Caenorhabditis elegans: one gene and its partner. The protein of the gene in region 1 purifies or fractionates together with the protein of each later gene. This does not show direct contact. Each region holds a gene or a part of one and is shown on either strand. Other genes may lie near its edges.

What was found.
Region 2: the proteins of dsl-5 (region 1) and ndua-1 fractionate together in Caenorhabditis elegans (co-fractionation; one large-scale study listed by BioGRID). This does not show direct contact.

Annotation. Positions count from the first base shown.
Region 1 is NC_003282.8:11,619,402-11,623,330, forward strand, and holds the start of dsl-5 (Delta-like protein), read right to left. Parts: upstream 1,609-3,929; 5' UTR 1,538-1,608; coding exon 1,487-1,537; intron 1,441-1,486; coding exon 1,073-1,440; intron 643-1,072; coding exon 515-642; intron 463-514; coding exon 101-462; 3' UTR 1-100. Other genes in the region: lys-4 (LYSozyme), read right to left, coding at 2,095-2,537, 3,496-3,697.
Region 2 is NC_003283.11:20,850,160-20,854,009, forward strand, and holds ndua-1 (NADH dehydrogenase [ubiquinone] 1 alpha subcomplex subunit 1), read right to left. Parts: upstream 1,739-3,850; 5' UTR 1,736-1,738; coding exon 1,605-1,735; intron 1,552-1,604; coding exon 1,474-1,551; intron 851-1,473; coding exon 847-850; 3' UTR 718-846; downstream 1-717. Other genes in the region: clec-264 (C-type lectin domain-containing protein), read right to left, coding at 177-507.

The DNA of each region.
Region 1 (3,929 bases):
ATAAATGGTTCAGTTGTTTTATACATGAAATTGTCACAATGAATCACAATAAAGCTGTGAATGTTTTTATTTACTTCAAATGATTTTATAGAACTTAAATTTAAATGATATCAACATTATCAAGATTAACAGAACCAGTTATTGGGAATGTTTCCGTATTATTTGGACGATTTGCAAACGGAGTATCAGAAACATTTCCCAATAGGTTATTAATTGTTTCCCAAGCTTCCGATTTGCTAATCTCTGCCAACTCATTCTCAACTAAATTCGAGAATATCAACTGCCAAAATGTCATTCGAAAATTCCAAAAGTCTCCTTTATAATGTGAGGAAAGAGACGCTGATATATGCTTCTTTTCACATTTTTCACCGCGATAGGCTTTCGAACATTCACAAATTGGTTTTGGATTTGAATCAATGCAAACTCCACCATTCTCACAGTTACACAACTTTGGAACAATGACTGCAATTTATAAAACTCACGTAGAGATTAGTTTTAAAAATATGCAACTCACGTTTTTCACACTTTGACCCAGTTAATCCATTCAAACAACTTGGTTTTCCTTGAAAATTGCAGTGTTTTCCCGAGTTGGTTGCTTTGTTCTCATCACAAAAAGTTTCACATTTCTCACCAAACCAATTTCTAAAACAATGATACAGATTCAAAAAAAAATTTAAAAATGGTATATTTTCTCTTTTAGACTTTCAGACTTTCAGCCGTAATAATCATGAACTGAAATGTTGTAGGACCTAAAATGACATTTTGACAAACTTTTCTTCAAAAGCTAGATTTTACAATGAAATTTATGATAGAACCGTAGTCAAGTATGTCAAGTATAAACAAAGAATTTGAGCAACATTCCAATTTTTCCGTTAGCTCTATAACCAGAATTCACTGTCATCAATAGAAATTGCACGGAATACAAAATTCCAAATAAAAAATTTCCAGACGAAATCCTAGATTTCTAGAACATGCTCACAAGATATATTTACTTTTTTTTCTACAGTACCGTGTGATTTCTAAGTTGTCTTGTGACAAACATTTAATCCAATTTCAAGACAAACGAGCTTACTTATTACAACCAATAACGATTCGAATTCCATTTAAAGGTCTGGCTACAGCAGCCGGTGATAACAGCCCAACACGTGGGTGAACAGTTGAGACAATTGTTGTGTCAGTTAGACCCAAATACTTTGGAGTTGAATTTTTAAAATATGAATTAAACTTGCCATCTTCCTCTGATTTTCCACATTTTATGGTTATATTGTAGATATTATCAAAGTTCACAGGAATCCTTGTAACGTTAAATGGTACATTAGATTTAAGTTTTAAATGCACTATTTTTGATTTCTCTGTTCGAAAATTTGATGAGATGTTCACAATTGCGGTTTGTATATGAGGACTTTGAATATGTAATTCTAGATATCCAGAACAAATTATCTGTAAAAATAAAATCTTAAAATTACAGTGGTTCAAAAAATCTCACCGATTCAATAATAAAAGTTATAAATAAGAAAGAAATCGCAAGAAGTTGCATGTTGAAATGTTGATAATGAGATGGAGAAACAAAAAAACAAGACTAAATATTTGTACTCGTCAACTTTAATTTTGATTCGATTGAGGTCAATTGTGTAATTCAAGGTTACCCCAAGTGACGTCATCACTACGCATTTTGACTTGACAACGTGTCTAGAAGATCAACAACATAATAGTTTTGAAAGAAAAGAGAACAAAAATTTAAGTTTTACCGTATCTGCTTTTTGAAATGTAAAGCCATTTTGATGTTACTATTTTGGCCGAAACTCACTTGAAACTCACAGGTCTAGATTTAAAAAAATAGAAAACAATTCTGAATGAGAATATAATTAAAGTCTCCGAACAATAATGATAAATTTTTTAAATAAGTAACAAAAAATTATTGAAAATAAAACATAATTTTCGAATGTTCTAAAACTGACCCATTTGTTGTCAGTTTTACAGTTTTAAATTGTTTCAAAAAATCAAGAAATCAATTGCGCGTCTGAAACTAGCGAAAATGTATGGGTTTACATATAAAAATTTGTTTATTCATGTTTATACATTTTGGTCAGCTATTTATGGAACATAGTTCATATCAACAGAGACTCCACATGGGCCAGTAGTGGTTCCTTCCCATTGATGAATTGTTGGTCTGCTCCATCCTCCGAAAGGTGCGAACTTTGAGAAATCCTTAATTCCATCATAGGTTGCCCACCAGAGCATCAAACTAGATTGTCCATGATAATCCAATCCAACAATATCTTGCCAATTGTAATAGTTACTGTAGATTCCAACTTGTTGCTTGTAAGCTTGAGCTTCTCTGACCATTGCCTCGATGAATGCACGGTTACTGGCGTGATTAGCTGGCCAAGCGAGACGTTCAATGTCAAGCCAGAGAGTAGAGACATGAGTTCCTGCACTCTTCAAAGCATCAAGAGTTTCCTTAACTTGATTGGCAGCAGATGGGCAGTTAGATCTCAAGCATGGGAAGATGTATCCATCGACATCGGTGAGGCCAGCTGCAAAATTTGTAATTAGCTTGGTACTGAATGAAACTTGTAGAAAACTTCAGATGTTTTAATAAATTGGAATATTATCAGTTTGAATGTTCGAACCCGTACAATGCTTATAATTGACTTGGAATACTATAAAGCTCATCCTTATGATCTGATTATTCCAACTTAAAGTGATCATAAGGGCCCCCTTACGGTCTCAATATTCAGCTCAAAAGGATCATATGATTAGTTATGGTTGAAAAAATTTTCACCTAAAACTTTTCTTTTGGAAGTTTTTCCAAAATGTTTAATTTTTTAGAAAAGCATAATTGTGGTAGTCCCTACAAGTTTGAACATTCATATTACATTTTCAGTCGAACCATCACCTAAATTGGAATTTTCTGCTATTCTGGACAATAATACTTAGAAAGAAACTGTAATTTTTTTTTTCATTTTTTAGTTTCAAGAGGTAATATATTGTTTCACTCACTAGATGCATTGTATGTATACTTGTAAAACATATTAAAGAGCAAGATTAGTTTAAATTTTGAATTCTATATTCAACCTATTGACAAATATATTTGAATATTATTATTTTTCCATACTCTGTTTACAATCATGTGACAATGCATGCCCTGGTAAACTAGACAGTCAGAGGGGACAATGAATGGTTGTAAAACGTAACGAAAAGATATTTCATTGACCACTACATCTTGACTTTTGGGAATATGTGTATTTGAATTATTTGATGGCAGTTTTTAAACAAACAAAAAGAAATAAGAAAAAGAGATAAGATTTTGTTAGTTTAAGTATTTTCTTACAAATTTAATACTCATAACTTATACTAGGAAGTATGCACAGACCTATAAGTTAGAAGTGTGAGGCGAAGAATCGCGAGGGAAAGGAGAACCAAATTGCCAAGAATGGAAATTATTTTGAAAATGGTAAAAACCATTCCTTGATACCCATCTGAAATGCTCACCTGCTCTAGCATTCTTGACGTTTTGAATTCCAGTATGATCAAGAGTTCCAACAGAAGTAAAGACTCTTGGAATTACGAAAGAATATCCAGCCTTATGAATACATTGAAATGTAGCAGTAGACACTGGTTGAATGAAATCAATTCCATTTCTAGCTGCACTTGCAGCACCGATCAAAAGCAAAGCCGAGACGAAGAACTTCATGATTCTCTGAACTCCCCTGATTAAGCCTTCACACACTTCTTTTATACTTCCCAAATACCGGAGATTCTAATTTTATGACTTTGACGCAAGCGGAAAGATAAAATCAAAAACTTCATAAACCCTCTTCTCTTATCTTTTTTGTTTTATTCAGAGGCTGATGTAAAATATGAAACAAAATATGGAGAGCAACTACACTTTCGTCTCATTTTCGAAAATATTTCTCGGGGTTTCT
Region 2 (3,850 bases), on another chromosome or scaffold:
AAATCGGCACAAGCGTTACAGTAGCCATTTCAAGAATTACTGTAGTTTTAGCTACGAGATATTTTGCGCGTCATTTATGTTGTGCAATACGCATTCTCAGAAATTTGTGTTACCCGTAATAAATCGAAAATTTTCGCGTAGAATTCCCAGAAATTCCTGTTTTTTCAGCTGACTACCTGGTAAAAAGTACGTATAATTTTTCGATTTCCCGTCAATCCATTGAAAATCCGCCGCTCTCGCATTCCATCGCATTCCGATCCAATTGAAAAAGCTCGGATTCTCTCTGGCGAAAAATTCACGAACTATAGAGGCCTCCTCTTCTGAATTTATAATGACAAGGCTTGCATTGGATTGAGTACAGTATTCGAGGGCTTCCGAGAATTCGGCTGGTTGAGGAGCAGACAGGAAACAAGAGTCGAGATGAGCAATGTGAAGCCATGAAGGAGCACATGGGGTTTTTGAATGAGTTAATTGGAGAATAAATTGGAAAAATAGAAGAAATCTCATTGGTGTTCCGTGGAGGTGAGGGAGATAAGAAGGAAAAATGTGGAGAAATGTTTGAAATAGATTTTCCAAAGTGTCTCTTGCACTCAAAGAGTCATTAGATCCTCCTGTCAGAAGACATCAAAATGTCAGTGTCAGGCGAGGAGCAGCTGACCTATTTTATGGTTTTATGTTATTCTAGTTTGAATTGAGAAACTTTTGTTGTTGACAGCTGAGAGGAACACTTTACTCGAAAAATTTAAATTTTTGGATAAAAAAATCACGAAAAAAAGATTGGGTTCCGCGCTACAAGTTGTCCTATCATTCAAATCGATTTTAGAAGAAGCAGGGTCCGAGACGATTTTACCTGAAAAAAATCTATTTTGAGGGCCAATACAGTTGATTTCAGATTTTTGTTATCTTTTTCGCAGTTCCTGGCAAATTTTTTACTGACGATTTGGCAAATTGCCGGCTTTTCGGAACTTCTCAATTCCGGAAATTTGCCGATTTGCTGAAAATTTAAGTTTCCCGGTTTGCCGGAAATGTTGATTTTCGGCAAATTGCCGGATATCTGATATGCCGGAAAAACTTGGAGTGATGTTTTATATTGCAAAAGCACATAAAACTGCGCCTTTTCGAAATTAAAATTCTGCAAATTCGAAAAAAAATGTGCAAACCACAATTTGCCGAAATTTTCGGCAATTGCCGTTATTCCGGCGAATTGCCGGAAATTTTCACTCCGGCAATTCGCCGATGTGGCGAAAATTTCAATTCCTTCGATTTGCCGATTACCGAACAATTCAATTCTGACAATTTTCCCGTTTTCCGAAAAAAAATCGTTTGCCGCAGCTTATAAATTTTGACTAAACTACAATTTTCGCTGATTTTTTGTCTTTTAACATTCAAAAAAAAAAATCAAAATGTCGATTATTTGTAGAATTTATTGTTGAAAAGAATCAAATTCCTGTTTAATCCAAAATTCGTGCTCACTTTTCGGGGAAAGCATCAAGTCCGGCAATGCGATACTGATTTCCTGTAAGTCGGTGATCTCTTTTCGACAGCTCAACTCTGGAAAGTTATTATAATTAAGTATTAAAAATCATTTTTCTCAAAAAATGCACCTTTGTGGAGTACAATAATTACGCCGGAAAGCTCTTCCGACATCCCATTTGTTGAATGGATAGGACATGTAGCAGGCTCCAGCTACAAACGCGGTTGTGATGACTCCAGAGTAGAACTGTTCGAACCACATGCTGAAATAACGAAATAAATTGGAAAAATGCGAAAAGAAAAGGAGAAAATCTAATAAAAATGCACATTTCAACATTTTTAGCCGCAAAAAGTCGATAAATGAAAGGAAAACAACACATTTCACGAAATTAGAATCAAAAATGATTTCAGAAGTTACTAAAACGTTTAAATTATCGTTTTTCTCATTTAAATATCAATATTTCATACTGAAAAACTACAAAAACTACACTTTAAATATAAAGAACAAAAATAAATCAACTTAGAGGTGGGCGGAGCTTCCGACCAACAACCGCAAGACGCGCGCGCGCTTTCTGCAAGGCCACCGCACAGGGGTGGGAGAATCGAGAATTATTTGGCCGAATTTGGATGAATCTCCAGTAGATAATCGGAAACGTAATAAATATGAAGTTTTTGTTAAAAAAAAGATGTTTCTGAAGAATTAAAAGATTATGCAGTTTTTCAGAGTTTCGTTTTTATCACTAATTGTAAGTTTGTGACAGATAAAATAAATAAAAAATCTGTTTTCAAAAAACAAATCCGTAACAACCATCTTAGCCACCATTCTAAATTTTCTCCTCTCTAAATCGACACATGACCAAGTTAACAAGATTTCACTGACATTCTTCTATTTTCTAACATAAGAAAACTGGGATTACCGTTGTAAAACGCAGAACTAGTTGCAGACGTTCTTGAGGCCTAGGGGAACATCTTCTGGGACTTCTGATCTATTCGCGCTAATACATTCCCTCTAATTTTCATATTATCAAAAACGTGTGACATTCTTAATGTGTTCATGAGGCTCATAAGCAGAAAAACGTCAAGCTGTCAAAAAATTGACGGATATTCATGGTCATGGGCAGGCGTTCGCCTTTTCCGCCAGAGCATGATCAACAAACAATTACAAAAAGGCTCTGGATTCTCTTGATATTTCTCATTTTTCCAAATTTTTGTTTTGAATTCATATTCTATAATAGTTTTTTAGTGATCTCATTAATGTAAAATTTACTAGCCCAATATTACCGGTACAAAGAGTGTAGATAGTTGGAGAGTGACAGACATCCGGGACCCAATGGGGCGGGGCGCGCGGAAGAGACGATTTGTGTCGATTTACGAAGTTTTCCTCGTTGTCATCATTTCGTAAATCGACACAAATCGTCTCTTCCGCGCGCCCCGCCCCATTGGGTCCCGGATGTCTGTCACTCTCTAACTATCTACACTCTCTGTACCGGTAATACTTTAATTGCGATATTTTTGGTATCGACTGTTGGACTTAATGCGTTTTTAGTTGTTTATTAACTCAAATTAAATGTGTAAATATAATTCAAGGACCAAATTTTCGTCATAACTTTCTCTACATTTTAAAGTTGTCAAAATATTACCAATTTTACCACAGAAACAGTGCTGTGCAGCTCTCGGCTCTCGGCGCGAGCCGAGAGCCGAAAAAAAAAATTGAACTCGGCTCCTGGCGCCAGCCAAGAGCCGAAAAATTGGGATTTTGGCCGAAAATTAGGTGTTTTTCGGCTCTTCACGAGAGCCGAGAGCCGACTTTTTTCAAGAGCCGCACAGCACTGCCCAGAAAGTCTTAGACCAGCGGACGTCGTGTACATCCAACGTTGACGCTTTTTTTTGGAACGAATGTCTGAAAAAAAATACTAACTTTCGTCTAAAATCAAAATTTTTGCCATCTGCTCGCTGTCGCAGCGTCTGAATTCCAGAAGCTGCGACACCGATAAGTTGGCAAAATTTTTGATTTTAGCTGAATATGAAACTTTTTTCCAGAACTTTTTAAAAAGAAATTTTCAAAACGTCTCATTACGAAACTTGGTAGTTTTGGACCATTTTGGGTATAAAAAGGCAAAGTCTCAGATTTTGGTAATCCAATCTCATAAATGTATTTGCTTGCCTCCCTTTCTTCTGTTTGTTGCAAAGTATTATATTAGTCAGCTTGTCCGGATAGAAAACGGGTTCTCATTATTTCAGGTCACTTTCTCTACTGTTCCTCCCCCTACCTCTCTCTCGACCGATGTGTTATCATATTTGAGTGATAAGAAAATTGGGAATATCCAGAATTTCGGAATATTTTACATTCGCTTTCTATCTGTCACTGCAGTGTTGA